Pelodiscus sinensis: one gene and its partners. The protein of the gene in region 1 binds, or shares a complex with, the protein of each later gene. Links are inferred from orthologs where the notes say so. Each region holds a gene or a part of one and is shown in the gene's direction. Other genes may lie near its edges.

Region 1 (10,473 bases):
CTGCACGTTGGCAGTGTCATCCTTCTCCCCGCAGAACCTGTGATTGGCATCTGTTAAAGCATTGCCTCTATGATTTTCTATTGTAACTGATAACAGCAAGACTCTGGATACTATCCTAATTATTCCATTACTATTGACTATACTTTCTTTTGTTCTTGTATTACACTTTTATTCTTGACTAACTTTCTTTTTGACACATTTGTGCAGGTACACAATCTTCAAAGACCATGTGTCACTGGGAGACTGTATCCTTGAACATTAGACTTGTGTGTGTAAACTGCAGCTTTTGGGGAAAGCCTTTGTCTAATTAAAATAACGGTTGTGTTCTTTATCTGCCATATGTTTCAGTTTGTCTGGTTATAAATCAGTCTGTCCGTTCAAGAGCTAGGAGCACCAGTTTGGTATATAGCTTCCTCTTATCATAGCTCAAACCAAGGTCAGGGTTTGGTTGTGCCAGGAAATAGGGTTGTGCCAGGGATGGGATTGTCTCTCATAAAACCATACAAAAGAGAGACTGAATTCACCTGCCTGGTGAAGGGGCTGGCTGGAGGTACATGCGTACACAGGCCCAGCCCCTCCCTACCCTGTGTCAAGGACTTTACTAGTCTTGAGCCTCCCATCTTCCAGGCACCCTTTGGTAAGGGGAGGGGGGCTGAAGATCTTCCCCAATTCGTAAGGGAGCATTGTGCACTTTCTCTTGCTGCCTGGGAAGCACAGGAGGCAGAAGAACTTGGTTTTCCAAAGATACCAAAAATTAATAAAGGACCTGAGCAATTCAGGGTAGTTCTTCTAGTCACTTAAAAGATCCACAACCTATGAAGTGGAGCGATGGACATATTATAAATACATAGCTAAACAGAGACACTTCCTAATCTGACGTAGTTGCTTGTTATAAACCAAAGGTCTCATTTGTCTCTTTGGGTACTAGTGACTGATGGTATTGGTAGGCTACCATAAGATAACTGGTGGACCTCTGGGAAAAAGTCCCTTACTAAATTGAGTGGGTAGCCTGTGACATGGGACTCATTTGCTGAGTTATGGTATTGAAGCTTCCAGTATTGCATATGACCCATGTTCCCTTGCATGACACTAGCAATTTATTTTATCAATTTGCGATAGAAACACACAAAGTGGGAAGGAGAATTATGTGAGAATTTGTCTAATGTATCAAAGAATAAACTTGCTGTTGTAATTTATTTTGAATTATTGACCAGGGAGAAACCTAATGTCACCTACCGTTTGAGCATTTCCTGTGGAATTCCCCTTAACTCATTCCTTTCAGATGAAATCCATGATGGCATGAACCTGGAGTTATATTATCAGTAGTCTTGAGTCTAGCTGCAGTTACAAATGGCAGGCATCACTTTTCTACATTTTTTTTCTGCTATAAAACTTGTCTATAAACTTTATTTCATGTAAGGTAAAAATTAGAAGCTCAAGTTGTGCATTCAGTTTTATCAGATATCTTCAGTTTTGATGGCTATAAAAGTGGCTGCAAACTTGTAAGAAGGCTGTTTTATTTTTAAAAAATGTTTGCAATAAAAGTTTCCTGATAACTTTTGTATCCTGCTCCTGGATTTGTCAGAAGAAATCTCTTCTTTAACTGACATAGCAGCCCAAATTAATGCAGCTGTTGGAAAGCAGTGGGCTTTAGACCCCATTTAACTTTCTGGAATCAGAATAATACTGTAGCACTCTCCATCCATCTGCTCAGAGGGACTCTCTTCTAGTTAGAGTAAGCAGCACATTTGCTTCGGGTTTGTATCTGTCATATTCAAGTTAGATTTTTTTTTTAATTTTTAAAAGAAATTTTGCATAGTACTGTGGTTAAGCTATGATCTGGGCAGGAAAATACGACCAACTCTCCCATCACACACTTGTTTCTAAGAGTGAAAGAAGAGCAATTGATTAAAAAAAATGCTTCAACAAGTAATAGGAATAGCAGTAATAGCCTTCCGAATACCTTCATTCTTAACCCATGCAGTCTCCGGTTTCCATGGAAAGTCTGTCTGATACAACTTCTCTCAAAGCTGTTATATTTATTCCCTTGTCACCCTTTTCCAGGCTCCTTTTGCACTAAACCCACCCTGTAACCTGTACTGGGATAAGGAACCTGATACGTTTTCCTGCACAACCTGAACTAATCTCTTGAATTCCTGTCTCATTGTTTGTAGCTGCTCCATCTGCTGGATGGACTTGCATTTTTGTGACATCCTTTCTCAGACACCTGGTGCTTCACTTTCTTCTATTTTGCCTGTAGTGACATCTTGCCTTTTCTACTAACTTTTAGTTATTCATCTCTTTGAGCCTTTTTTATTTGTGCATCAATAAAGTTCCTTCCTGCTTCTCTGTTCTAGAAGCCCTGACAAAATGAAACAAGAGCAATCAGATCACCCAGCAGTTTACAAAACAAAAAACAGAAGCCAAGCTAATCACCAAATGTGTAACCTGTATCCCATGATGCTTTTTATCCTCAACGTAAGACATTTACTAGGACTAGAAATTATGTTTAACATTTGGAAATATGCTTCCTAGTGTATTTTGGGGAAAACATTTACCTGCTAGTAGTAATATGTGATACCACTTCTAACATCAAACTGCAAGATCTCATCTCTAGTTTGTACAACAAGCTATTATTTGAGAGTTAAATGTGATATGAAATTGCACATATAATAGGGAGAGCAAAAAGTCACCTGGATGCAAAACTTCTGATGTGGCCTCACCAATGCGGAATAAAGGGGAATGATCACTTCCCTAGATCTGCTGGCAATGTTCCTACTAATGAACCCAATATGCCATTTGCCTTCTTGGCAACAAGAGTGCGCTGTTGATGCATCTAAGCTTCTTGTCCACTGCAGTCCCCAGGTCCTTTTCTGCAGTATTGCTGCTTAGCCCATCTGTCCCCAGCTGGTATCATTGCATTGGAATTTCTATCTTGAGTGTGGGACTCTACACTTGTCCTTGTTGACTCTTATCAGATTTCTTTTGGCCCAATCCTCCAATTTGTCTGGGCGACTCTGGACTGTCTCCCTGCCTTCTAGCATATCTACCTCTCCCCACCATCTTAGTGTTATCCGTGAACTTGCTGAGGGTGCAATCCATCCCCTCGTCCAGATCATTAATGGCCTTAGGACTATCCCTTGGGGCACTCTGCTTGATACTGGCTGCCAATTAGATGTTGAGCCTAACAATCTAGCCATATTTCTATCCACAATATAGTCCATTCATCCGAGCTGTATTTTTTTAACCTTCTGGCAAGATGAGGCCATATCAAAAGCATTGCTAATGTCAAAGTATATCAGTCCACCACTTTCCTCATATCTGCAGAACCAGTTATCTCATCATAGAAGGCAATTAGTCAGGCTTGGTCTGACAGGAATTCAGATTGACTGTTACAGATCACCTTCCTCTCCCAAGTTTTTCAAAATGGATTCCTTGAGCACCTGCACCATGATTTTCCCAGGGACTGAATTGAGGCTTACCAGTCTGTAGTTCCTTGGATTCTCCTCCGCCTCTTTAAAAGATGGGCACTGCATTTGCCTTTTTTGGTCATCTGGGACTTCCCCCAGTAGCCGTAAGTTTTCAGGGATAATGGCCACTCCCTCAGATGCATTAGATACTGCCCCATAGACTGAGCATATGATTTGTTTTAAATGGTCCTTATCTTGTTCTTTTACTACTGAAGGCTGCCCCTTCCTCCCCATTACTGTACTGCTCAGTGCAGCAGTCTGTGAGCTGACCTTGTCTGTGAGGACCAAGGAAAATAAAGCATTGAGTACTTCAGCTTTTTCTACATCATCTATCACTAAGTTGTCTTCCTCATTCATCAAGGATTCCTACACTTTCTCTGACTCCTTTCGTGCTGCTAACAACCTGTAGAGACATTTTTTCAGGGAAAGATATAGCTAGGTGCCAATTTAGTTTGTAACTGGAAAAACTTAAACAACAAATAGTTTTGCAGCAGTTTAGAGACTAACAAAACATGTAGATGGTGGTATGATAAGAACAGTTTAACCAGTTTTTAAAATGATACGTTAGCGGAAGCTGCTTATAAGAACTTGTAGTTAGTGTTCCTAGTGAAATAGACGGAATGTTGCTGAGTTTCAGGAGGTTGACTGCAAACTGGGCACCAGCAAGATCTCCATTTACAATGAAGTTTTGAGACCAAAATGATTTAACTAATGTCTTGATAGAGATTAATTTTCCTAATATCCCTGTGAACCAGTTACCACAGAAGAGAGAGATGGCCAGTGGAAGAGTCTTAATAGAACCCAGGATTTAAGAATTATTGTTGTGCCATAATTTGTAAACTGCCCCAAGAAGGCTGTACAATTCAGGGAGCTTGGATATTAATCTATGTAGAAGTGCTGGGCTGCTAACTCTTGTGATTCATTACTAATTTCACAATATTTTCTTTAAAGCCCCAGCTGCTGGAGCTCTGTGATTGTGACCCTCAATTGTCAGTAAGGAAAAATATGTCTAGCCCTCCTGCTTGCAGAGTGCAAGACTAAAACAGCAAAACATAAAACTTCAAAAAAATTAAATCTCCTTTTGCAGGTGCTTGACACATGAATACTTAGGATTGGTATTACAGAGGGATTTTGTGAGCATCAACGGAAGTTGGGGAAAGCCCTACACATTTTACAAGGGCAATACGCTCTGTACAATGAGCAGCAGCAGCTGATGATGCAAGGGTAGGCATCAGCTGGCCCTTGAGCTCCGGCAGAGAGAGAGGGGTCAGGGGCTTGCCCTGCTGCAAGTGTGCTGTGGCTCCCACAAGCAGCAGCATATCCCCCCTTCGGCTTTTACTTAGATGGCTCCATGTGCCGCTCTGGCCCAAGTACTGCCCCTACAGCTCCTGTTTGCTGGGAATATGACCACCGGAAGCTGTGGAGGCCATGCCTGCTGAGCAGGAAAAGTGCAGAACCGCCTGCCAGCACCTCCATGTAGGAGCTGGGTCGGGGTGAGGGCTGCTGCTTGAGACAATTGTCACATGGGGCCTACGCCCCCAATCTCTGGGGCCCCACCGCAGGGCTGCACCCCCCAGCCGACTCTCATGCCCAGCCCCACTTCGCCAGCCAGCTTCCCCTCCCTGCTGTGGTTCGGCGGCTAGCGAGTCCCTTGCACAGGGCCCGGGGGCTGCTCCAGGAGCCCCGTGCCAGGGACGGGGGGGGGGGGCATGTCCAGAACCCCCCCCCATTCCTGGGTGTGGCGGACACGCGGCCAGGGAGGCCCCACGGCAGCGGGCCGGGACATGCTGGTCTCAGGTCTCCCTTGTCCCGCCTCGGCTTCCGTCCCCTCCCTCCAGATTCACTTCCGGGATCATTGCGGCCTTTCGCCCGTAGCCAATCACGGATCTTCTGCGCCAATGAGACCGGGGCCAGGGCGGGGCCGGGACCGCCTCTCTCTCTCTCAGCCAATGGCAGCCGGCGGGGGCGGGGTCTCGGCCTTCCCCGCGCCAATGGGGCGCCCTGGCGCCAGGCAGGCGGGGCGCGGCCGGGCGGGCTCGCGGCGCAGGGAAGATGGCGGAGGAGGAGAAGCTGCCCTCGGGCTGGGAGAAGCGCATGAGCCGCAGCTCCGGTACGGGGGGGCGTGAGGGGCGGGCGGGGGCAGGCCAGGTCAGCTATGGGAGTGGGGGGGGCCGCGGCCGGGGGGGGTGAAGGGTCTGAGGGGGGGCAGGGCTCTGGGGGCGGGGCCGGGGGGCTGAAGGGTCTGAGGGGGGGCAGGGCTCTGGGGGCGGGGCCGGGGGGGTGAAGGGTCTGAGGGGGGGGCAGGGCTCTGGGGGCGGGGCCGGGGGGGGCTGAAGGCTCTGGGGTTGGGGGCGGGGCCGGGGGGGGGTGAAGGGTCTGAGGGAGGGGGCAGGGCTCTGGGGGCGGGGCCGGGGGGGCTGAAGGCTCTGGGGTTGGGGGCGGGGCCGGGGGGGGGTGAAGGGTCTGAGGGAGGGGGCAGGGCTCTGGGGGCGGGGCTGGGGGGGGCTCAGGGCTCTGGGGGCGGGGCTGGGGGGGGCTGAGGGCTCTGGGGGTGGGGGCGGGGCTGGGGGGGCTGAAGGCTCTGGGGGCGGGGGCAGGGCACTGGGGGCGGGGGCGGGGGGGCTGAAGGCTCTGGGGTTGGGGCGGGGGCGGGGGCGGGGGGTGGGGCTGGGGGGGCTGAAGGCTCTGGGGGCGGGGGCAGGGCGGCGGGGGCGGGGGGGCTGAAGGCTCTGGGGTTGGGGGCAGGGCTCTGGGGGTGGGGGTGGGGGGGCTGAAGGCTCTGGGGGTGGGGGCAGGGCTCTGGGGGCGGGGCCGGAGGGGGCTGAAGGCTCTGGGGATGGGGGCAGGGCACTGGGGGTGGGGGCGGGGGGGTTGAAGGCTCTGGGGGTGGGGGCAGGGCTCTGGGGGCGAGGTCGGGGGGCTGAAGGCTCTGGGGGTGGGGGCAGGGCACTGGGGGCGGGGCTGGGGGCGCTGAAGGCTCTGGGGGTGGGGGCAGGGCTCTGGGGGCGGGGCCGGGGGGCTGAAGGCTCTGGGGGTGGGGGCAGGGCACTGGGGGCGGGGCCGGGGGGGCTGAAGGCTCTGGGGTTGGGGGCAGGGCTATGGGGGCGGGGCCAGGGGGGGGGTTGAAGGCTCTGGGGATGGGGGTAGGGCTCTGGGGGCGGGGCTGAGGGGGGCCTGAAGGATCTGGGGGCGGGGCTGGGGGGCTGAAGGCTCTGGGGTTGGGGAAGGCTGTGGGGGTGGACCCGGGGGGGGGGTTGAAGGCTCTGGGGTTGGGGGCAGGACTCTGGGGTGGGAGTTGGGGTGGGGTCTGCGGGGTTGAAGGCTCTGGGGTTCGGGGCGGGGCCTGGGGAATTAAAGGCTCTGGGGTTGGGGGTTGAAGGATTTGGGGGCGGTGCCTGGGAGGTTGAAGGCTTTAGGGCTTGGGGTGAGGCCGGGGGGTTAAAGGCTCTGCGGTTGGGGGCAGGGCTCTGGGGTTGGCGCTGGAACCTGTGGGATTGAAGACTCTGGGATTCGGGGCGGGGCTGGGGGGGTTAAAGGCTCTGGACTCCGGGGCAGGGCTCGGGGGGGGGGGGGGGCGGTTTGAAGGCTCGGGTTGAGGGGTGGGGCTGGGAGTTGAAGGCTTTGGGGTTGGGTGTCATGTCTATGGGGGTGGGGTGAGGTCTGGGGTCTTGAAGGCACTGGGTCTGGGGTGGGGGGGCAGGCTTGTGGGCAGCTGGTGCTGCAGGCACTGGAGGGCAGAGAGTTTGGGCCTGCAGTGAATATAGCTTGGAGGGGTGTGCCTTGGAGATCCACTTCCCCAGCTGGGTGTCTACTGGGCTGTATTTACTTGGTCCCCATGGGTTGGTCTGGGGCAGGTTGTTCTGTTCCATGGAGTTGCTCTGGGGACTCAGATGTTCCCTTGAGAAGGGGATTGGGGAGGGTTCCCTGAATAGAGGCAGAGTGAAAGTGGCTTTATTCATGATGGGGTGGGAGGGAATTTAGTGAGGCAGCCTGGGGTTCTCACCATGTCCTTTGCTTGGGGATAAGCTTTCCCTGTTATATAGGACCTCCTGGCTAGGGTCCATGTTTGTTCACCTTATGGTGGATGGGTAAATCTGGAATGAAGCCCACGGGAGGTGTCTGTGTGGGGAGAGGAAGTGGATGCAGGTCCCAGTGCAGATGGGGGGGGCTGTTCTGATATGGGGTAAGGTCAAGTCTGGCTCAATGCCTTGGTACCCTACACGTTCAGGGTTAGAGGCAAATCATTGCACCTGTCTTCACTTCATTCCTTGTAGTTTTGCCAGGACACTGACTGTTCCAAGGTAGTTATAATTGGACGTTTGATCCTTGTGTCCTTGGGCTGTTGCCTTCTCTGCCATCCTCTATGTCTGAGAGTCAACACTTCTCTTCAGAGCATTTTGCTGGTTTGCTGGTTGAAATCCTTTGGGATAAAAGGGGTTAGAGAGAGGGAGGGAGTCACTCTGTCTGTCTGGTGAGAATTCCTGCAAGTGCAGGAATGAGCTGCTGCCAGCTTGGAGGGAAGGAGCAGAAAGCATCTCTAGGTTACAGTATTAGTTGGCTTGGCTTCACAGTGGTGTGGCCCCCGTCCTCGTGATTGCACGCTTCAGGGGAATTTTGCTGCTTATTTTAAAGAGTGGCTGCTTTTGGTCGAGGTATGTTTTTTTGTTAGCAACAGCAACCACAGACACATCCAGGATCAATGCTCCATTGTTTGTGCAGTGCCCACCACACTATAGTAAGACATGCCGTCTTGCTCAACTTTCTAATTACAAGATCATACAATTGTACGACTGGAAGGGGCATTTAGAATTCATTTAGTCTGGCCCCCTGGACTCCTGGCAGGACTAAGTATGATCTTGACCATCCCTGACTGGTGTTTGTATTACCTGCTCTTTAGAACTTCCAATGAGGTAAATTTCACAGTGTCTCTGTGTAATGTAAACCACCCTGTCAAGGAAGTTTTGCCTAATGGCCAACCTTAACTGTCCTTGCTGCAATTTAAGCCCATTGCTTTCTGTCCTATCCTTAGAGTAAAAGAGAGAATTTTTTTAACTCCATGTTGTGATAATCTTTTATGTACTTGAAAACTGTTATGTCCCCAGATAAACTCAATTTTTTCCCATCTTTCCTCATAGGTCATGTGTTTTAGATCTTTATTTTTATTGCTCTTCTCTGGACTTTCTCCAGTTTGTCTATATCTTTCCTGAAATCCATTAATTATGATGCATTTGAAAGGTGTGAGTCACCAATATTTAGGCTTTTCATCTTTTCTGCTTTACCTTCACATATATGCTGTTGTAAAGTGAAACATAATCATCTTCTTTGCCGAAAGCCCAGCCCTGTTCACCTTCTCTGCAGGGATAATCGAGGCAGTGTTCCTCTCTGTCAATGTACTGTATTGTTTCAGAAGGTGTATTGGTGTTAGGCGATGCTGGAAAGCCTCAGACATGCTTTCTGCTTTCATCAGACTAATTTGTACTTTACAAATATGAACCACCCAGTTCAGCTTTCCTGGGAAGGTTTAGGGACCTGCCTCTGTTAAAATCAGTGTGAGTTTTGACATGGTCTTCAGTGACAACTGGATCAGGTCTGAAGTAACTTGCCAGAGCTGGGTTAGAATGGATGAGCTGTTGTGCTCCCATCACCTTTCTCTTTATTTCTTATTAGGAAAGTTTGTTAAAGATGAGAATCTTAACAGATGGGATTGACAGCTGCAGTGCCGCAGCAACCTCTTATTATGGGATATTGAGTGTTTCCAGTTCCTGCAGTGATTCTGCTTTGAGCTGACATCCACATTTTTTCACTCACAGAAATCAAGAGTCTTGTATATCTGTTGAGATGAGCTAGAAGCCAGTATCACGGGTCTGAAAGGAACTTCTAACATTTAATCCTCTCCTCCCTTTTATTTGCAGGCCGTGTGTACTACTTCAACCACATTACAAATGCAAGCCAGTGGGAGCGCCCCAGCGGTGGTGGGAGGAATGGCCAAGGAGAGCCGGCTAAAGTGCGCTGTTCACACCTCTTGGTGAAGCACAACCAATCCAGAAGACCCTCATCATGGAGGCAGGAAAAGATCACGCGGAGCAAAGATGAGGCACTGGAGCTTATAAATGGCAAGTAAAAGCAAGAGAGAGGTTGATAGTAGTAAAGGGGAAAGTCATGTTAAGGCCTAAACCAAACACCTGAGAGAGAAATGACTTTTTAGTTGCATGAAATCTCTAAGGCAAAGTTGTTGAGCCAAGTGCTCAAACATGGACTTCAGTGTAGCATAGCCACCTGGGGAGTCAATTTTTCTGATTAAATGACTTAAGAACAGGATCCCTCCCTTCCCCATCCCCTCTTTGCATTTTTGTAATGTCATGTCAGAAAGGTGTTTGTATTTTTTGTAAATGTGTATATTATTTTTATATTAAAAATAAAACAATTATTTGAAGCTAAAACTAAACGTTCCTTTAACATCTTCCTTTTCTATGTTTAAGATTTCATTTGACTATTTTCCCAACTGCAGTTACAGTAAATTGTGATGAGTCTGTGCCTAAGAAATGCATGAACATTTGCACAGGCATGTTCAAAGATCCTGTTAAGCTGATTCACAAAACATACATTTCCCAGCACAGTAAGTTGTCCAGTGTGCGGTGGCCTTAAGCGGGTCCAGAAGTGATGGGATCCTAGTCTTTCCTATGCCTGTGGTGCCAAGTCAAGCACGTATTGTCCCTTGTAATGCAGTAGCGTTTAACTGGGATGCTGCTTAGCCAGTGAACTGTGGTCTTGTGGACTGGTGTTGGCTTTTATAGGCAGGATTCTAATCCCACCTTCTCCATTGCCTCTTGCTTTGGGATCAGGTTAGACAGGGCCTGGGTGAAGTGAGTGGGAATCTTCCTACTGACTTTGGCTCAGAACCTTACCCTGTTTCCCATTACAAAATATGACCTGACCTACCTCCCAGGGGTGTTGTGAGGACTAGCACTTGGTACAGTATGTGAAGCACTGGTACTGCTGCATG
Region 2 (10,201 bases), on another chromosome or scaffold:
GCCAGGGAAGGCTGGGCTGGCTCCCAGGCCGCGGTGCCTGAGGCACGGACAGCTCCTGGCTACCGTGAAGAGAAACATTCACATCTGCAACCCGCCGTAGGAGAACTAGTCTCGTCCAGGCGACTGCTGGGTCCCTGGGTTTCCCCTGCAGCCTTCCGTGCGGGGAAAGGAGCAGCCCTTCCTGCTCCCCCTCTGCTTCGCCTTGAAATCCCTGGACCCGCTCCGGTTTGCGAGCTGGGAAACCGGCGATTCCAGGCCTAGCGGCTGCAGACCAAGCCAACTGTGACGATGGGCCCTGCCTGCGTTCACCCCCCTACTTCGGAGCATTAGCAAATGCACAAAGGGAGTTAACGTAAATGGGAAACGTAAACAGCCCTAGGTTTGGAGACGGGGGGATTCTCTCCAGGGCCGCTTTGGGACCAAGCGCATCTTTTCCACTCCCCCCTGCCCTCCCCATCACAGTCAGCAGCCTAGTGCCTGCCCACAGGAGCAAGGCAAGTCCCTTTGCAGCTTGGCTGCACTCGCTGGGCCTTGTAATCACTAGGGAGAGGGCTCCGAGGTGGAGATTCCAAGGTCAGAAGGGCCACTGCGAGCTCTTCGACTGACCTCCTGGGTAGCACTGGCCAGAGACCAGCCCTGGAATATTCCCTGTTTGAACTGCAGCAGATCTTACAGACAGACCTCCAGGCCGCGTGTGCGATTTGCCCGTGACGGAGACTCCATCTAACCGGGGATAAATTGTTCCAATGCGGAATGACCCTCGCTGGTAACAATGCACACCCCTGAGGCTTACTTCCAGCCTCCATCTGTCCTGCTCCAACTTCCAGCCTTGGAGCTTGTTAGGCCTTTGCATGGCCAACAAGCCCATTCGTAAACAGCTGTTCCCCACCTGGGTACTTAGAGACTGTGATCAAGTCACCCCATAACTGCCCTTGTGTTAAGCTCAATAGGCTGCGCTGCTGGAGTGGTGGGTGAAGAGCAGGTTTTTCCAACCCCTAATCTTTCTCATGGCTCTTCTTTGGACCCTCTCCAATTATTCAGCCTCCTTGAATCGTGGGCACAGGATTCCAGCTCCTGTCACACCAGGGCCAAACCCAAAAGTAAAATAACCTCTCCGCCCCAATGCAAATTTCCCATGTATGCCCCCAAGGATCACCCTTTAGGCTGGCAGCTCATGTTGACCTGGAAATCTTTTTCAGAGTCGTTGCTTCCTAGAATAGAATCTCCCAGCTGGTAAGCGTGGGCGCCGACTTATTTTTGTTCCTAGATGGATACCTTTATGATTGTGTCTCTTAAAATGCACATTGTTTGCTTGCCTACCCTTGTGATCCAGCTCTCTGCCCTCTGTGTTATCGACCAGGCCCGGACAGCAAATGGTATTAGGGATGATTTAATCATAGAATCACGGAACACTAGAACTGGAAGGGACCTTGAGAGGTCATCGAGTCCAGTCCCCTGCCCTCATGGCAGGACCCAGCACTGTCTAGACCACCCCTGACAGGTGTCTGTCTAAGCTGCTCTTAAATATCTCCAGCAATGGAGATTCCAGAACTTCCCCTGGGCAATTTATTCCAGTGTTTGACCACCCTGACAGGTAGGAAGTTTTTCCTAATGTCCAGTCTAAACCTCCCTGGCTGCAGTTTAAGCCCATTGCTTCTTGTCCTGTCCTCAGAGGCCAAGGAGAACAATTTGTCTCCCTCTTCCTTGAGACACCCTTTTAGATACTTGAAAACCACTATCATGTCTCCTCTCAGTCTTCTCCTTTCCAAACTAAACAAGCCCGATTCTTTCAATCTTTAGTCTTTCCTTCATAGCTCATGTTCTCTAAACCTTTCATCATTCTTGCTGAAACAAAATACAGGACGATATAGCACTTTAAAGACTAACAAGATGGTTTATTAGATGATGAGCTTTCGTGGGCCAGACCCACTTCCTCAGATCAAATTGTGGAAGAAAACTGGCACAACCATATATACCAAAGAGATACAATAAAAAAATGTGACCACATATAAAATTGACAAATCAGATTTTAGAACAGAGGGGGGGTGAGGGAGTCCTGTCTTTTGTTTCAGCAAGACCCGACTAACATGGCTACATCTCTATTACTTTTCATCATTCTTGTTGCTTTTCTCTGGACTTTCTCCTAGGCTATGGCTACACTGGCGCGATCTTGTGCCAGAGATATGCAAATGAGGCTGTGTGGAATATCACCAAGCCTCATTTGCATACCTAATGCGCCACTATTTTTGCAGAAGAGGCTCTTGCACTAGAAGGCTCTGTCTACACTGCCCCTTCTTGTGCAAGAAAAACCCTCTTGCGCAATGCCGCTACATTGATTATTTTCAGGAATAACGGCATTGCGCAAGAGGGTTTTTCTTGTGCAAGAAGGGGCAGTGTAGACAGCTCCTTCTGGCGCAAGAGCCTCTTCTGCAAAAATGGCAGCTCATTAGGTATGCAAATGAGGCTCAGCAATATTCCACGCTTAGCCTCATTTTCATACTTCCAGCGCAACAACCCGCCAGTGTAGACATAGCCCTAATGTTTTCTTCCAGGTCATTAACAAAAGTATTAAATAGTGTAGGGCCAAGAACCAATCCCCACTAGAAACTCCTTTGCTCCATGACGACTCCCTGTGTGTAGTTCCATTATGACACCTGGCCATTAGCCCCATTTTAATCCATGGCTGTGTGCCATGTCCATGCTGTATCATTTTCTAGTTTTAATCATCAAAATGTTGTGCAGTACACAGACAAATGCCTTACCGGAGTCTCATCACAACACGACACCCTTCTCAAATTTGTCATCTCTAAAAAATATCAAGTTAGTTTGACAAGTTCTATGTCCATAAGCCATGTTTATTGGCATTAATCGTATTATCCGCCTTTAATTCTTTGAGTCATGTATTAACTGGTTCATTATCTTCCCCATGAGCAGCCAATATTATCTAGTGTGTCCCATTTACCCTGTTAAATATTGGCACGACATTCCCTTTCTTCCAAAAGCCATGATAAGGGCACGGCTGCTGAGCCAGCTCTTTTAAAACTCTTGGCTGCCTGTTATCCAGATGACCTGATTTAAAATGTCCAGTTTTGGTAGCGGCGGTTTAACATCTCCTGTGTTACTACTCCAGTGGAAAGTGTCAGCATAATCTGGCCTCTGCCATTTGATACTGAGTAGAAATATTATTGATCACTTCTGCCTTGCTGCATTATTATTGATAACTCCCCCTTTCCAGCCAGTAATCTGTGCTAGGAATCCCTTTTGTTCCTGAGAACTTTAAAATCCCCTTTTTATTGCCCTTGCTGGGCACAGATTTCTCCTTTGAGCCAGTCTGTGCCAGTGTGGCATACATTCTGATGAAGCCTTCAGTTCTTGCTTTCCAGCATCTATGTCTCCATTACCTTCTCTCTTCCTCCCCACCCCACACTCCAGCTGATCAGGGTGCAGAGAGCACCTTGAAAACCTGAACCAAGTGAAACTGATGCCTTGAAATCTGCCTAGGGGACAAATCCAGCTCAGAGCTGTGAAGTGCCTTTGGGTCCCTGTGGGCTAGCACCCCTCCCCCCCTAGACACCGAATGTCACCATTGTTGACTACTTCACCAATGGCAAAGGCATGGCAGAAAGGCGAGGAAGGTTGATAACATGAAGATCTGCTTAATCTCCTGTGCATGTCATCTCTGCCACCCTGGGGAAATCAAGGGCAAGAAGCCCAGTGGGATGCGTGGTATCTGCCCAAGACGGGTGTGGGGTCCCGGTGAGGAAGAGCAGAGTGCATGGAGACCAGAGAGCCTGCAGGCAAAACTGTAATTTGAGCATCTGCACAAACTACATGGGCACCATCTCAGGGGCAGAGCTTATTTCAGGGGCAGAGCTTGGAAAGGCACCTCAATTGGCCCGACTGTACCATTCTCCTGACAGACAGGTCTGGCTCATCCTAAGAATGTTTTCCTAAATTGGCTAGCGGCTGTAGCAAAACTAGGAGGACTAGTGTGCCAATGGCCTTTTCAGCCTCATGTTCCACAGCTCTGCACCTGGGCCTATTGAATGCCTGCCTATGCTGTTCTTGATATTGCTACCACCTGCGTTAGCAGCCCGGGGACACTTTAAAGCAGCCACTGTCCTTACAATCGGAATGGCTTGTATCAGGCATCTCCATTTGGCCCAGACAGACACAAATATTTCCATCACACCAGACAAGAATAATCAGTTAATTAACACAGCCAATGCACAAACACACCAGAGCACGGTCTTATAACCTGGGCTCTCTCCTCCTGCAGAGTTATGAAGGCTGTGCCAGATTCTCAGCTGCTGTGAATTAGCATTAGCTCCAGTGATGTCGATTCCAGCTGAGATCCAGATCCTCGGAGTAATTTGATGCACGATTACCCCCAATGGGCTTGTTCAGCTACTTTTGTGCGTCAGGCCAGGGGGAGGGGAGAGAGAGAGAAGTCAATGCTTGCAGAGAGACACAGGCTGGGTTTTGAACACTGAACAGGTCATTTTCCCTGAAACTTAAAAATAGGTCTACAGGACACCCCCCTGTTGGAACACCTACATCGCTCAGCCATGTGAAACCCCCCCTGTCCTGCCAGCCCTGAGCAGCAGTTTTACTGACTCCACCGGTGTAGCAGTGCTACCTGCACATGACGACTGCTGCCACCCACGGTTGCGACTGATTCTGTGGACTGAAGCTCTCCCATTGCACAACAGCAGCTCACTAAAGTGCTACAGACACACATGAAAAAACCAGCCCTGTAGTCACTGAGGGCTGAGTCCGGCTTGGGGGCCTCTGGCCCCTGTCCGCTCAGTGCTGCTAAAGAGAAGAGCAGCTCCCTGCAATGAGGCTGGAGGGCTGTTGTCAAAACGGCCCGTGGCCTGAAAACCACGTGTGGATTTCTAAGGGCAGCATGCACATTGCCAGCAGCCAGTGCCTCGCTCAGCCATGCATCTGGCTGCTCCCATAGCCCAACCCCAGGGGGACTGGATCAGAGAAGGTCATGCTTGGAGACACGTGCCCAGCTCTAACCACTAGACCCCACTCCCCACCTGCAGGGGAGGGGGGACAAGCACAGAGCTGGCCTCCCCCACTCTAACCACTACACCCCCCTCCCGCAGGGGAAGGCAGCAAGCACAGAACCCAGGCCTCATTACTCTAACCACTAGACCCCACTCCCCACCTGCAGGGGGGCCAAGCACAGACCTAGGCTCCCCCCTCACTCTAACCACTAGACCCTCCCCCCTCCCGCAGGGGGAGGCAGCAAGCACAGAACCCAGGCCTCATTACTCTAACCACTAGACCCCACTCCCCACCTGGGGGGGGGGGGGGGGGGGGGGGGGGGGGGGGGGCGCGAGCACCAGCCCCTCGTGCCGGGCCAGGCGCCGCGCAGCAGCCCGAGCACGCGGCGCGCCCTTTAACAGCCTTAGGGAGCGTCTGCAAAGAGCGCGGGGCCGGGAGGGCGCAGCGGGCGCGGCGGGGTGGGCGGGGCGGCCGGCCCCGCCCTTTGGCGACGCCCCCTGGCCCCGGGCGGCGGGCGGCTATAAAAGCCTGCGGGGCGCCGCGCCGCCCGTTGCTGCTGGTGCGAGCCCGACCCGCTGCGCCCACCGGCCCCATGGCCTTCCCCCTGGTGAGTGCGCCGGGCGGGGCGGGGCCGGCGGCACGTGTCGGGCGCTGCGGGACCGCGTGCTGGCCCGGGCGGGGGCGGGGCGCGAGGCGCCTCGTGACGGGGGGGGCGCTGCCGGACCCGCCGCGCGGGGCTCGCGCTCGGCCGCGCGCCTCCCTCCGACCCCCCCCTCGCGCGCGGCCGGCAGGTGCTGGCGGGCGGGGCCGCGGGACGCTCGGCCCCTTTCAGGCGGGTCCCCGCAGCGCCCGCCGGCCGGGCCGCCCCTCACGCGGCTTCGCACGTTCCCGAGCCGCCGGCTCCGCGCCCCGGCCGCCAGGTGAGGGGGGGCCCCGGCGAGCGTCCGGGCTGCTGCCCTGAGGCGGGGGGGGGGCAGCGCGTGTCGGTCCCGCCCTGGCCCCGGGGTGGGCGGGCCCCCCCTTGGCACAGCCCCCCCTTTCCGCTGGGCCCCCGCGCCAGGCCGCTCTGCATGGCCATTGGGGCAGCTGCCCCGGGGCCCCTAAAGCCGCGTTGCGGGGGGGCCTGGCAGCAGCTCCCCGCCCTGGGCCCCTGCACGTCTGGGTCTTGCTGCCTGGCTCCTGGCTGGGAGGCACTAGCTCAGCCTTGCACTGGTGCGCAGGGTCCCGGTGTCCCGCCTGTGCCCGTGCCAGCGATGGCGTGTGGGGCAGATAGAGGCTGCTCATCTTCCCGGCTCTTGTCTCCAGCACGGAGTTTGTGCAGGTGGGCCAAAAGCAGTTGAAGGCTGAGTTGTGATTGGCTGCTTAACTGGCAGTGGGGTAGGGAAGTGGCTAGGTGGCATGAAAATGTCCCCTACTTGTGACCTTCCTTAGGTGCTGCTTCAGTAAACTGCCCATTTCTGATCCCCACGCTACTGATGAGGCATGAAATGCCTAACAACCTTGAGAATTAAATTATCATTTCGTGTCTGGTTTAACCCCCTCGTTGTGATGAATGGGGCTCTTCAGACCTCTGGTGGCTATTGTTGCAGTCTGCCTGAAGAACTGTGCAGATGTTTCTACAGCTGTTATACTTGCTTTTTGATGCTTTGCTTGCAACCATCACATCTAGCCATGCCCAGCAACAGCTAGGGAGCAGCTTCAGTGATGTGCCAGTGTGCTGTACTGCTGCGAACTGAATCCTAACTTGTCGGCGCTCCTCTGCTTTGGTGAATGGTGCTGCAGAGGAACCACAGGTGTCCGTGATCCCCAGCACTTGTACCTATGCTGCACACAGGAACTTGCCAGCCATTTTTCAGCTACCTGATTGCTGCCTAGTTGTCTGTGGTGATGCAATATAGCACTCTAATTATAGCACTGCTTATTTGTATTAGATAAGGTGGATAACTTAAGGCATTAGATGACACTGGGAGTTTTGTCTGAAGTGGCTGTAATGCCATAATGCAGCGTTTAACAATAGCAGAGGGTGTTATCTTTCCCTAGAGAAGAACACTGAGTTAGTAGTGATAGTCCATAATGGGATGGGTCAGATGCCTGCTGCAGCAGCTGGAGAGACTCTCAGACTAGGACAAATAAATGTCTTTTTACATCCCAACTAGCTACCCTCTCTTGGGGAGGTGGATTGCCTGCCCTATGCCAATAGATGGGTTTAGGCTGGCGCAGCTGTAATGCTTTAGGCGCAAACAAGCCCCTGGCTGTGAAGGAATATCTTCCATTTCTGTAGGAAGTACCAGCACTACGGTGCACAGTGCTGTAGCTGTCCTGCTGTCGTGTCTGCTGGGTAGTTAGGGCTGGAAGCGCTGGAGGGGAGCTTCAGAGGCCTCAACTTGACTTGGTTCCAGTGGGTGTCCGCTCTTAGAACTACTTCCTCTTTGCTACCACCGCTGGGGGCTACCCTACCAAATCAGGCCGATATAGCAGTGTTGCACAGGGGTGTCTTTGAAACTGTCGTCCTTGAGATGTGGTCAAGATGACCTGGTGTAGACCTTGCTGGGCTGAAAAGTGTTCTTCTATCAACCAGTTGCTGCCTCTGAGGGAACTTTAAGGCTGTAATAAGCATCTATGCTGCAGTGAAATAGCTACTACCGTGGCATTTCCTGAGCCAGTGGTTCTCAACTGGGGGTATGCAGAGATCTTTCAGGAGGTAGTTTAATAAAGAGAAATGCAAAGTGCTCCACTTAGGAAGGAACAATCAGTTCCATACATACAAGATGGGAAGCGACAGTTTAGGAAGGAGCATGGCGGAAAGGGATCTAGGGGTCATAGTGGACCACAAGTTGAATATGAGTCAACAGTGTGGTGCTGCTGCAAAAAAAGCAAATATGATTCTAGGTTGTATCAACAGGTGTGTTGTAAGCAAAACTCGTGAAGTCATTCTGCTGCTCTATTCTGCACTAGTTAGGCCTCAGCTGGAGTACTGTGTCCAGTTCTGGGCGCCACATTTCAAGAAAGATGTGGAGAAATTGGAAAGGGTACAGAGAAGAGCGACAAGAATGATTAAAGGTCTAGAGAACATGACCTATGAAGCCAGGCTTCATGAACTGGGCTTGTTTAGTTTGGAAAAAAGAAGATTAAGGGGGGACATGATAGCGGTTTTCAAATATCTAAAAGGGTGTCACAAGGAGGAAGGAGAAAATTTGTTCCTCTTGGTTTCTGAGGACAGGACAAGGAGTAATGGGCTTAAAGTGCAGCAAGGGAGGTTTAAATTGGACATTAGGAAAAAATTCCTAACTGTCAGGGTGGTCAAATATTGGAATAAATTGCCAAGGGAGGTGGTGGAATCTCCCTCTCTGGAGATATTTAAGAACAGGTTAGATAGACATCTGTCAGGGATGGTGTAGACAGAGCTTGGTCCTGCCTTGAGGGCGGGGGGCTAGATTCGATGACCTCTCGAGGTCCCTTCCAGTCCTATGATTCTATTAAATGTTTAGCTATATGCCTCATTTTACCTCAGGCTACATAAAAAGCATGGGCAAGGTAAGTGCAAACTTGAATTTCATACAGCCAGTGACTTGTTTATATTGATTTGTATGCTGTGATATTTTTGTCTCGCTTTTAAAAGTAAGCAGCTCTTACGTGAGGTGAGACTTGGGGTATACAAGACAAATCAGACTCCTGAAAGGGGACCAATAATTTGGAAAGGTCAAGACACTGCCCTGAGGTATCCTGGCCATGATCTCTCCTGTGGCTGCTTTCAACTTCAGCTTCTTCCTAGATTTCTCTTAAATTAGTAACATTGGACAAATTTGTTTCCTTTTCCTGATCTGTTCTGCTCCTCATCACAACTTACCAAACCTGTTTCCTTGCATCTGGCTCTCTTTGAAGCCACCTAGCACCTCCTTGCACTTCCTTTCAAAGTGGCCTGTAGTCTAAGGGTTCTTCCTTAGGTATCTTAGATACCTGTATCAAGGAAATCCTAGGTCTCAAAAATCCTGAGGAATGTTAAATGCCAATTATTGTAAGTTTCCATCAAACAAAACATGCAGATTTGTTATGCCCAACTAGCTGTGAGGTTGGATTGAACCTGGCTTAGAGGCGGTCTTCCAGAGCTGCTGTGGATAGGCAGTTCTAGTCTCCCCCAATCAGTAATGGTCAGAGGGGTTCAGCATCTTGCTAGCTGTCTACCGTGGCTTCTTGGCTAACAGACAAGATTGAACTGTGCAATAAGTGCATCCTGATGCTGACAGAAGTCTCTTCTGGCCTATCTCTGCTGTCCTAGGAAATGGCATTGAGCACTTGGTTAGAGCAACTGAAAATGGGTGTCAAATGAAAGAGCAAGTTTGTGCTTGGGTGTGAATGTAGAATTTCAAGCCTGCTCAATCCCATAACAGGTATGGGAATTGTTCATAGAGATCAAGGGTGGAGTCTGGTCTTCATGGAATAATTGAACTTGGTTAGTATTTACTATCCTGCTTAACTAGTAGGGAAGTTCCTTCCACTATCCTGCTCTTCAGCCACTTTTTATTGCAGTCCCTTTTCTCTCTCCACCCTCCTGTGTGCCTCTTTGCCCTCTAGTCTGTTGCTGCCTTGCAGCAATTCCCAGTCCTTGGTCTCCAGGGCTTCTGCCCCACCCTTCTCCATTCTAGCTGCTAAGAGGTGAAAGGGGGAACCACCTAGAGGCCATTCTGTGAAGAGAGGGGTGATCAGGAAACAGAGCACTGTGGACAGGTCTGCCCTTCTGCAGCGCAGCTGTGTCTAGGCAGCATTACCTGAAGACTGCCCTAGGCAGGTGCTTGATCAGCCTCCGGCAGAGGTGGCTGGAGAAGCTCTCCTGTGGACAGAGCACTTGCTGCTCGGGGGGGGGGGGGGGGGCTGTGGCTCAGGGCTGTGGACTTGTCATCCCACCAAGCAGTGTAATTCTACAGCTATAGGGCTGCAGTGGACCACGCTTAGGTGACTTAGACATGTTACTGGAGCTGTGGAAATGAGGGATGTAAAATCCTGTCTAATTAACCAGTTAAATGTTAAGTTTAACTGGCAGGGGTGGGCAGCAGGCTCCAGTGGTCCCTGCGCCACAGGCAGGGGCTGCTCCAGAATGGCTGTTTCTGACCCCATGCTGAGCAGCCAGCTCCCAGCTTGCAAGGGCTGGGAGTCTGCCCCACAGGAAGTGGCCTCGTACTTGGCT
Region 3 (11,197 bases), on another chromosome or scaffold:
CAGACCCACTTCCTCAGATCAAATAGTGGAAGAAAGTACTCACAACCATATATACCAAAGGATACAATAAAAAAAAAAAAAGAACAAATATGAAAAGGACAAATCACATTGCAGAACAGGAGGGGGATGCAGGGTGGGGGGGGGGGGGAGGAAGGAAGGTATGTCCTTTTCATATTTGTTCATTTTTTTTATGGTGTCCTTTGGTATCCTGTGACTATTTTCTTCCACTATTTGATCTGAGGAAGTGGGTCTGGCCCACGAAAGCTCATCATCTAATAAACCATCTTGTTAGTCTTTAAAGTGCTACATTGTCCTGCATTTTCCTTTTAAAACTGTGAGCCTCAATGGGAGGGGGGAAGGCTTCTGGTGCTGTCCCCGCCTCCAGCACAATCCCGTTGGCCAGTTTTTGGCCAGAAACTGGCCAATGGGAACTGCCTGTTTGAATAACAGGCTGCACATGAAGCACCATGCTCCCTTTCCCAGCTCATAGTTATTCACATATGCACATGGCCCTGCAGCCTGTGTGAGGGCAGGGCAGGGCAGGCTTCCTTCCTGCCTGATAAATGTGATGGCCAGGAGTCACCAAGGTAAGTCTCGTGCCAGAGCCTGTCTCTGGCACCCCAGCCTCTCCCTTTTCCAACCCTCTGCCCCCAACTCTTGCCCCCCTACTCCACATACCGAAACCCTCTGCCCTCCTCTTTTATCCATATACGCAAGCTCTCAGTGGTCAGCCCCTTATTTGTCCACTCAGCCACTTCTCTGAATTAAAGTTACTTTAAATCATCTAATGAGTATTGGCTAGTCCAGTGCCCCAGGTCACAACTACCTCCTTCACCCAAACTCCCTCCCAGACCGCACTCTCCCTCCTGTACCCCAATCCCTTATCCCAAGCTCCTCTCTGCACCCAACCTCCATCCCAGACTCCGCACTTTCATTAATATAATCAAAGAGTGTGGCCTTCAACCACTTTCCAAAATTTTGGAGTGGCCCCCAATCAAAAATTATTGCCCACCTCTGGTTTACAGTCAACTACAGTCATGTTCTGCCATGAGGTATTATCTGTCATGTGTTCCGTAAATTATGTACTATTTGATTTTTTTGCCATGAGTATCTATTCTGTTGTGCCTGCTGGAAGTTATAAACACTGCCGGGCCCAGAGCTTTGTCTGCCACTATGAATTCTGTGGTGCTTGCAGTACACTTATAAATATGACTGGGAGTTTTTCAGAGGCTATGAAATTTCTCAAAAGATAAGTTCATTGAGAGGAAAAATTAGTGCACAAAATCAAAGTGCAAACACACATACGATGGCTTTGGCACCTCAGGAAAAAGAGTGGCCTGGTCCCTCTATCAGACTAGGGGAAAACAGGAAGCAGGAGAGGATAGAGTGTAGGTGAGGCCACACTTTGTTGTTCAGGGAGGCTCAGCCCACCATGGCCTGTGTCTGAAGAGAATGTTGCCTATGTCTGAAGTTGTCTGAAGATGCTAGAGGGGTCTGTGATGGACTCCCCCACTCCCATGCTTTATGAACTGGACTCATGGACAGGAATATACATATCTCAAAAGTGTTTTGAGCAAATCATTTTGTGTAACCCATCAATCTTTATGTCACGATCCACTGGTTCTCTTTATCTTACTCTGTTGTATGTATCATTTGTGTGTGTAAAATTAGACACAGGGAGTGGGGAATAATTGGTGAGTTTCAAATGTATGAATGAGAGACATGGAAGGGGTTACCCTTAACTGTTAAACTATCTCTTTTGTCCTTCAGCCTGAGCAGTGGTTGGTAGGGAGGGGCCTCAATCCTTTAACAAAAAGAATAGGAAAGGAGAGGCCTTGGTCTTTTTTGCTGAGCTGCACCTGGAGGAAGGAGCCGGAGACCCCAGGGTGGGGAAGAGAGCCCTGGTTTAGAGTGGCAGCTGGAAAAGAGGTTTTAGGGTGAGTTTAAGTTTGCACTGAGGTTTCAGTGGAGAATTAGCCAAGCGGTTTTGTTTCTTTTGATTTGTAACCTACTTTGCTCTGCCTACTTTCACTTATTACTACTTAAATCCTACTGCTTCAACTTAATAAAACCATTTTTATTTTCTCTCAAACCCAGTATAAGCGATTGTTACCGGGGGGGAGGGGGTCAACCAGTGTGTGCATTCCCCCTTTCATTGCTAAAGGGGGCTGACCTAATTCTTTGGGGTTTGATCCCGTCTGGGGAGTGATATCCCAGGTGGCTGGGCCCTAACCTGGATTCTCCTTGGACCTGAAGTGGTTCAGTGTCTGTACTGCTTCTCGGTGGGGCAGGGACCTCAGCTCGGGGCCTTGGCTGGGGGAGTCCAGCGGAGCTGGCCCAGCAGGACCTGGTGGTGAGGAGCCCCAGAGAGCAGGAAGGCGAGTGGCAGTGGCTGTGTCAGCACCCCAGAAGGCACCCCTGAGGGGTTATCTGTGACTACACCTCATCACAGGATCACTGCCAAGTATGGCATGCAGCTCATTGTAAAAACAGCAGGTGTGCTGGTAGCAACAAACTTGCTCTCCTTCACCTTGTGGTATGCCATGCAAAGTTCTTTTGCTTTCATGCAGCACTGCTGATGAACCCTGTTATTCCCCTTTGCCAGCACCCCTTGTGCAATCTATTTGCACAAGTCTATATTTCTATTGTTCTTCTCTCCACAGTGCCAGAAGACCTAACATTTCTTCCCTGCTTCAGGCAGAACTGCATCTTGTACCACTGCCATTGTTATGGCATTATAGCGATGCTAATACAGTTTCCATCTGGTAGATATACCTTTAACATTTAGAGCAAACTACCTGTGTCACTCAGGGATTTGGAAAATTCACACCACCAGTTGCTATAGTTAAGCTGACCCAATGCAAGTGTAGATGTAACTAGGTCAGTGGAAGAATCCTTTTGTGAATCCATACAATCACGTCACCTTGGTGAAGACCTGCCCTTAGTCTTTGAGAAGGAACATGCCAAATTAACTGCGTCTAAAGCAGGGGTGGGCAAAAGGGCCTCCACAGGCTGGATCCGGTCTGCGGAGGCCCTGCTGCTCCCTCGCCCCCAGGTGAATTAGGGTCTTGGGGTGGGGGAGCACCTGAAGCCTTCTCTGCTCTGTCCCTGCCCTGCAAGCAGCACATGGCGATTCAAAGCGCTGCACGCTGCTCGCAGGGCAGAAGCAGAGCAGAGAAGCCTTTGTGTGCTCCCCCCCCTCCGCCCCCAGGCCTTAATTGGCTTGGGTGCGGGGGGAGAGGGGGTGCATGAAGCCTCCTCCCACCCTGCCAGCAGCATGTGGTGCTTTGAAGCGCTGCACGCTGCTCGCGGTGGAGGGAGGAGGCTTCTTGCGCTCCCTGGCCCCCAGGCCAATCAGGGCCTGGGGAACCGTGTGAAGCTTCCTTTCCCCTGCCCTGGCCCTAACAGGAGCCCACGGCACCTTGCAGGGTGAGAGGAGGCTTACCTGCGCTCCCTTGCCCCCAGGCCCTGATTGGCCTCGGGGTGGGGCAGCATGCCAAGCCTCTTCCAGGACATGGGAGCATAGTGGGAAGGGGGGGCAAAGGGGCTCCCTGACCCCCCAGACCAATTTTGGTCTGGGGGTGGGTAGACCCAGCCCTTCCTGTTTAAGCTCTGCCCCTTCTGGGGGCCCGGGGCTACTTCAAAAATTTTTGAAGTGGCCCCTGGGCAAAAATTATTGCCCACACCTGGGCTGTGTCTAGACTGGCCAGTTTTTCCGAAAAATCAGCCGCTTTTCCGGAAAAACTTGCCAGCTGTCTACACTGGCCGCTTGAATTTCCGCAAAAGCACTGACTTCCTACTGTAAGAAATCAGTGTTTTCTGCGGAAATACTATGCTACTCCCGTTCGGGCAAAAGTCCCTTTTGCGCAAAACTTTTGCACAAAAGGGCCAGTGTAGACAGCTGAGATTTGTTTTGTGCAAAAAAGCCCCAATCATGAAAATGGCGATCGGGGCTTTTTTGCGCAAAAGCTCATCTAGATTGGCCACGGACGCTTTTCTGCAAAAAAGTGCTTTTGTGGAAAAGTGTCCGTGCCAATCCAGACGCTCTTTTCTAAAAATGCTTTTAACGAAAAACTTTTCCGTTAAAAGCATTTCAGGAAAAGCATGCCAGTCTAGATGTAGCCCTGGTGTAGAGCTTCAGAGGAATAGCCTAGTTAGTCTGTAATTGGAAAAACTTAAAAAACAACAAATAGCCTAGTAGCACCATAAAGACTAATAAACCATAGATGGTATCATGCGCTTTCGTGGGCACAACCCACTTCCTCAGATGAACAACTTCTAGTATGGCTCTGCATGACATTCAAGCAGTTGCATCACGTATAGAAGTTTGTGACACTGACATTGCTTTGTAAAAGAGCTGGTTCTTTACCTCAAATAGTAGAGACTCTTTATATCTCTACATACCAAGTTCATCCTCACATATGACCCATACAGGGATGTTTCTACATTTTAGCTATGCTGTTTGTAATCATTAGATCACAATCTGCTCCCAGTGCCAGGAATGGAAACAGTAACAGCATGCTTTCCTTCCACCCCCAAGTCAGTTCCTCCCAGAGCTGAAATAGCAGACTCTGTGGGGGATCTATAGGTGTGAATTTAAATGCCAAACACATGATTAGAGATTAAATGCCAAACACATCATTAGGGCAAATTTGTTTCCTGTCCAAATATATTTTTGAACTTTCAAGTTTTCCCATTCTGCACTGGGACAAAACTGAAATTTTGATGTATAAAAATATACGTTAGACAGAGAACCCAAAGTATTCACTAGCATAATGGTTATGGCCCTCATCTCATAAAACCAAGGTTGACATCTCTGATTTATGGATTTACCTGAGATATCCAAGATCTGAGTGCAGGTGCCTTAATCTCCTGGCTATTAGCTATTCAGGGGTGGGTCTGTTTCAGTCTCTTCTGTTTGAGCTGTTCCAGTTTGTACAAGCAATTACATATTGAGGATGTAGCCAGAGCAATTGACTTTATAGCCTCATGGTGAGGGTACTCCCATAAGTGTAGGAGAATTAGGTTCCCTCCACTGGTTCAATGAATAGTAGTAGTCACTGTGGATTATCGTACTATGATCTCACTTTGGTTGTTTGATTGGCATGCTGGTATTGGTGGCTTATGCTATACAGGAGCGGGCCTTGACTTTAATATTTAGCTTTTGTAGTTGGTTAATGAGAGCTCTCTTTAAGAGCAGGGTGTACCAGACTTTGAGAGCAGTCTGTGGGAGACTTTGCCTGTTTGTCCAGCGTCAGACCCTCCCTGTGTATGCAAGCTTACAAAAGGTCAAAATTTAAATTAATACATTTATCTTTCAAGACAGAAAGGTTCATTCATGAAGGCATTGCATTTGGGTTTATGGGGGGAGAGACCATACACATTCAGGCATTATTAATTAGTTGTAGAGCCTTTCACCTGTAGCTTCCTAATGTAAATCTTGTCCAACATACATTATATTATTTAATGTAATTTAATCCAGATTCAGAAAGGGGTGCACTCCCTTCTGGATACCAAGAATAGCCACGATTATCCTACTCAGAGGGTTAACCGTGTTAGTCGTTTTTCAAGATTATCATATTTAATGACAAATACAGGGATGTTAAACCTCACGTTGTGGGGGCTGTACCAGTCTTAAATGGAGAGTAGGATGAGGAAGAGGGCAGATTATTGCACTCTGCCAAGAGTGGGAGATTTACACCTCCAGCATCTGGCTGCGTGCAGCAGCAGAGACGAGATGGATCGGGCATTGCAATGCCCGCGCTCCGAGGTGGTCCCTAGCTGAGTGGAGTTGGCTGAATCCTGATTCCCTCTCCTGCAGGGCGCTTGTATGTCCCTGTGGGACCGCCCGTGGGTGATGCATTTGCACGCTCGCCACCTCGCGGGGCGCTGGATGGGACGCTGGAGGGCTGCCTGCGGAGGGGCCATGTAGCTGCCAGCGTGGTGGGCTCCCGGAGCGAGGGCAGGGGCCACGAGGATGGGCACTTGCCACAGGTCTGTGAGGTGCTGTGGCCCTGGTACCACAGGTGTGTGTGGAGGGGGGGGGGGGGGAGATTGTAAAGCAGATGAGAGCCCCCCCCCACTGCACTGAATCTGGGGGGGTGCTTGGGGGAGGCTTTTAACCCGTGCATGGTCCCTCATTTAACCCTTGGCCGGGTCATGCTGCAGGGGGAGGCGTGTGGGATGGGAGGTGGTTGGACTAGTGACGGGGAAGGACGGGACTATTTCTCGCTGCTGGAATCCGCTGCCGCGCGGAAGGCGACTACTTTCTTAAGCGAACTCAGCGGCCGCTTGGCGGAAGGATCGGCGCTCTCCCCCCTGCCTTTTTTTTTTTTTTTTTTTTTTATTCGCTCGCCTTCCTGCGCCACCTCCCCCGGCGGGGAGCGACACAAGTGTCGGCCAATCAGCGAGTGCCGTGGCCCTCGCGCGGATCACGCTCTCCGTCGCGAGGACTCCACCACGGCGTTTCTCGCCGATTGGGTGGCAGGCGCGCCAATCGCTTGGCTGGGCGGGACGTAGCCTTCGTTTAGCCATTCGCCGCCCGCTCTCCTCACAACTGACCCAAGGCAGAGCCAATCAGGGGGGGGCTTGCGGCGTGCGCCGCCTCGCCTTCGTTAACCAATGGCGGGCGGAGTGGGCGGCGGCAAAGAGGAAGCCAGCGAGAGGGAGAGGAGGAGGAGGTGGTAGCGGCGTAGCTAGGCGAAGAGGTTGGTCTCTGGGCGGCTTTGGCATCGGCCGGGCCGGGGTGGCCAGTCCCGGCGGGTGCTGCCTGTGTGTGGGGGGAGGGATACGCGCCGGCCTAGGCAGCGCCCCCCCCCCCTTTGTTGTGGGAGGCGGTGGCTGTGGGGGAGGCTCGCGTGAGGGGGGGCGAGGTTTGGGGCGGAGGCTCAGGCCGGCGGGGAGTGGGGGGTTGGTGCTGGGCCCGAGTCTCTCTCGCCTCTTCCCTAGTGGGGGTGAGCGGCCGGGTCAGGGCTGCTCACCCTCCCGGCTTGGTCGGGAGTCTCCCGGAATCAGCACCAGTCTCCCGGGGACGGGGGGGAAAGCGACCCTGGAGGCTGTGATGGGGCGTTCCACGGCAGTGGCGTGACATCCCCTTTTTGGGGGTGCGGGGGGGGGGGTCGCCTGGAATAGCTTCAGTGGGGTTGGCAGTCCTAGGCCGGGCCCTGCTCTCAGGATATAAATAGGAGGGGTGGCTGGGTGGGCCCGTGGCAGCTTCTCTCTGGGGACCGATGGTGTGGGGTTAGAGGTGGGCGTATTACTACTTCGCTGCCCACCCCACCCTCCTTTGGAAAAACTCGATCTTAGACTTTCCCGAAGAGCTTCACACAGATTAAAAGTGGAAAACTACTGCCTGAGAGAGAGCCAGTATTGTCTAAAATTGTGAGCTGAAAATAGGGGGAGGGAAAGTGATTCAGCCTTAACTTCAGTGAGTGTTCCTAGGGGGTTAACCCTCCCTCACCTGTTGGCAGCCAGTGACTGCTCATCCTCTTCATTCTCCTGTAACTGAACTGTATGGATGTAAGCAAGCATCATACCCAGTGGGTGCTATAATTGATGCACTGTAATGACTGCAAATAGCGATTGTTTTAGCAATTTTGCAAAACTTTCACTTGTAGTGCTGTGTGTAGCATATGTGTGAGGAAAAACAGCTGAGTGAATTCATTAGTTCATAGTCTGTAGGACGGTTGTTTGAGATCCAGTTTCAAATGTAGAATACCTTGTTTTCAGTTCATGTTGGCTTGTGAAGCAGGAGAGTACCATGGTTGTAGCTTTTAGAAAAGAGTTTTTAACAGTTAAGAGCTGCTTTTAACTGCAGCCAAATTCTGTTTCTGTTCTGTGGATGACTGGAAACTCTTAAACTCCCCTCAGTGAGTGCTGAGATGTACATATCACTCATGCAATTTATTTCAGATTATAGTAAGCAGTTCCTGAGTATACAAATAATGATGATATATTTTGTATCAAAAAGCTTACAGTAAGATAAGCCAGTTAGATTTTTGCATTTGTTTAGTGTATCTTTAAAATCTTAAACTTCTGCCTTCTTAACAAAATAGGCTGCAGTGAGGACAGCTTGATTATACTGCCAACTGTTTAAAATTGACAGACTGTTAATTGTGGGGTGGTTATAGTAGCAAATTTAGCAAAATGCACGTTTTTTTGCTTTGCATGTGTAAAGTAAAAATGAGAAACTTTCCATCCAATAAGATTCCAGTTTGTAATGATTTGTAGGCTTTCCTTCACATATTTTTGTTTCTCCTCTCAAGTTGTATTTAGCTCTTTAGCTTTTCAGTGTATCTTAACATGTTACTTTCACAAAATTATCTGCCTTTAAGTATCAAGGGAGGTAAAAAAATCAGTTGGAGACATTACTCTGCTTATCTTAAACTGTGAAGCTTGCTATCTTGGTGTTAACTTCATCATGAGGTTACCTCCAGTGGCTCTGCAATTTAAAAATGCAGTGGGGTCAGGGGATAGGCTGCCTGGCTCTTACTGCCTTTTAAAGTTGCAGTGGGGTTTGGTCCTAGTGAGAGCCTGGACTGAGCGGGGCTGCCTTTTCCTGGCTGGCTTCTACTTAATTCGGCAGGCAACCCTGCTTAGTCGCTGCTAGTCCAGGATCTGGGAGTAACCCGCTGCGGATGTCAATGGTTAACTGGTGGACATCACACTTATTGGGCGATGCTTATCAGTTACCAGTTAACCAGTGGCCCAGCAAGGCCAGAGCAGCTCCTGCCTGTCCAGAGCAGCCCGTTTAAGTGATTAACCAGTTAAATGGTATGTTTAACTGATTAAATGCTGTTTTACATCCCTACTTGGAAGTGCAGATCAAAAATGGTGTGCTGAAATTTAAACTGAGTTGTCTTGTCCTCTCTATCAAGAATTAAAGATGTTGTATGTCAAATTTATAGTAGGAATAATCAATTCTAGCAAAGTTTATAAGGTCATAGGGTAATTGAAAAGCTTACATTTGTAAGAGTTCAGTTCTGTCTAAATTGACGTCTTTCTTTTCTTTCTAACTCCAACCTCCCCAACACCCGCTTTGTTGATTTAATTTGCTCATACAAAGAGAATTTCCAAAGTAAAGGCCCTGCTGGATCTTTTTCAATCCTCTTATGTCAGCTCGATCTTTCCAAAGTGCTGAGCACCTGTAGTTACCATTGAATTTAATTGGAGCTTACAAATGTTCAGTATTGCTGAAAGTTTGAGAGATGTAAACTTTTCTCATCTCTTATCAAAAGAAAGGCTTGAACAAACCTTGCAACATGTCTGAAGGGTGATGAGTTTGAGCGCTGTACCAGAGGGAGAAGAGATTTCCAAATTCTTTCTAAAAACAGTGCAGGATAAAACTTGAGTTATTGTACAAATATTTTAGGTTTTCAGATGTATTAACACTGTCTTAATGGGCTGTATATGTAAATTCTCTAATTGAAAGCATCCATTTATAGGACTGAGTTGCTAAGTGAGTTGTAAATTCTGCTTTTCTGATTGGATGTAATGACTTGTCAACTGTGCTTAGAGGCAAACAATACCTAAGCTTACTTTGCCAAAATATTTGTAACTGTTAATTTGTTAAACAGAATTGCTGCAGGTCATGTGATGGGATTAGCGTGTGGTGGTGGGTTTTTTTTTTTCAGTAGTACCAAGAGTACAGACAGTCCTGTGTTCAGTACTCCTTGCTAGAAGAAACTGAGTAAGCATAGGTAGTAATTCTGAAAGTTGAAAAGCGCTGCTTTCTTTGACACATCCCTGGAAAAAGTACCCTACATAAGCTAAGGTTTTATTCCTTTTTGATGTTTTACTATGGTTTATTGATAACTGACAGTAACACTGATTATACTGTGTCCTACAACAGCTGGCAGTTAAGGGATTTTTTTTCTTGCTATCTGAACAGGTTCAGCTTAACCTGGAACATAACACTCTAATGGCTGAAGACTTAAGTTTAGGGTAGTGTGTGTTGGTGGGGAGGACTTTTTCTCTTTTATAAGATAAATCATAAACTTCATTACTTTCTCTGTATCCTGTAACTAGATGTTAGAACGTGTCTTGCATGTTCACTTGATTACTCCTGAAATTTTTCATTGGTTACACTCGAGCATGTAGGCATGACTATGCTTTCACATCTGTAATAGCTGCTTGCGTTTCTAATATATTTAGAATGAAGATATCAAGTGTTACAAGAATTTGGCTCATAGAATGGGTGATAAGGAAAACAAGCTGTCTTGATTTTCAAAGAAACAGTAACAAGACAGGGATGTCTTGAACCCCACATAGAGTGGAGAGTTTAACTCAGGGATGGGCAATAATTTTTGGTGGGGACCACTCCAAGACTTTGGTAAATGGTTAAGGACTGCATTTTTCTGTGGAGAGGGTGTGGCGTATAGGATGGAGGCTGGGTACAGAAGGGCACAGGGAGTAAGGGACAGGGGTGCAGTGGATAGTGTGGGGTCTGAAAGGCTGTTTGGGTGAAGGAGGGGATTGTGACCTGGTGCAGGGTCTGGTAGGGTGCTTGGGTGCAAGAGAGGATTCTGGCCTGGGGGAGGGGTGTAGGATGGGCTACTGCATCTGGGAAGGAGTTGTGACTTGGTGCACAGGGCTTGGATGGTCACCTGGGGGAGGGTGTTGAAGTGTGGGAGGGACAGGGATTGCCAGGGGCAGGCTCTGGCTGGGAGGCACTTAGCTAAGCATCTTCCAACCTGCAGCACCCCCAAGGCATGCCAGGCTCACTGACTGTTGCACCCTCAGGCAGCTTGAAAATACAGGCTGTTCCCCAATCCAGAGTTGAGAGCTACCTGGATAGAAGAGGCTTATGCTGCACCCTCTTCTCTTCCCCTGTTCCCCCCCCCCCCAAGACGCGCCCCCCTCCCCGCGCCTCCAGGCCAATCTCTCATCTCCGATTGGCTGGCTGTTTCCAGCCAATAGGAGCAGAGAGTGGCTGATGTCAGTTTTTTATTGGCTGGCTGTTTCTGGCTAATAGGTGCTGAGGATTGGGCTGGGGGTGAGGAAATCACTGGAAGCTTCCCCCATCCTGCAGAGCAGAGAAACATAGGGACTGCACTTCAAACTGCAGCAGCTATATGCCAGAGGATCCTGGCAGGGTGGTCCTTGGCCCAGATCCAGCCCTTGGGCTGTATTTTGCCCAGCCCTTGCTTAACTTTGACACTTTTTAAGGCTTTAGAGGCATGTACGTATTACATAAGTT

The links.
Region 2: the proteins of PIN1 (region 1) and CPEB1 are in contact, whole or in part, in an NMR structure (PDB 2N1O), measured with the Homo sapiens proteins. The link is inferred for Pelodiscus sinensis from reciprocal best matches to the Homo sapiens genes PIN1 and CPEB1. Residues at the interface, in NP_006212.1 of Homo sapiens: Arg17, Tyr23, Ser32, Gln33, Trp34, Glu35; in NP_001352172.1 of Homo sapiens: Arg206, Ile207, Ser208, Pro209, Pro210, Leu211, Pro212, Phe213.
Region 3: the proteins of PIN1 (region 1) and SMAD2 are in contact, whole or in part, in an NMR structure (PDB 2LB3), measured with the Homo sapiens proteins. The link is inferred for Pelodiscus sinensis from reciprocal best matches to the Homo sapiens genes PIN1 and SMAD2. Residues at the interface, in NP_006212.1 of Homo sapiens: Glu12, Arg14, Met15, Ser16, Arg17, Ser18, Tyr23, Phe25, Trp34; in NP_001003652.1 of Homo sapiens: Pro218, Glu219, Thr220, Pro221, Pro222, Gly224.

The regions. Positions count from the first base shown.
Region 1 is NC_134729.1:14,658,649-14,669,121, forward strand, and holds the start of PIN1 (peptidyl-prolyl cis-trans isomerase NIMA-interacting 1), read left to right. Parts: upstream 1-5,421; 5' UTR 5,422-5,522; coding exon 5,523-5,580; intron 5,581-9,382; coding exon 9,383-9,583; intron 9,584-10,473. Other genes in the region: UBL5 (ubiquitin-like protein 5), read left to right, coding at 208-245, 1,283-1,326. UniProt on the Homo sapiens protein: Peptidyl-prolyl cis/trans isomerase (PPIase) that binds to and isomerizes specific phosphorylated Ser/Thr-Pro (pSer/Thr-Pro) motifs.
Region 2 is NC_134724.1:36,952,378-36,962,578, reverse strand, and holds the start of CPEB1 (cytoplasmic polyadenylation element-binding protein 1), read left to right. Parts: upstream 1-5,497; 5' UTR 5,498-5,611; coding exon 5,612-5,626; intron 5,627-5,806; exon of another isoform or gene 5,807-5,939; intron 5,940-10,201.
Region 3 is NC_134716.1:117,158,863-117,170,059, forward strand, and holds the start of SMAD2 (mothers against decapentaplegic homolog 2), read left to right. Parts: upstream 1-6,640; 5' UTR 6,641-6,707; intron 6,708-11,197. UniProt on the Homo sapiens protein: Receptor-regulated SMAD (R-SMAD) that is an intracellular signal transducer and transcriptional modulator activated by TGF-beta (transforming growth factor) and activin type 1 receptor kinases.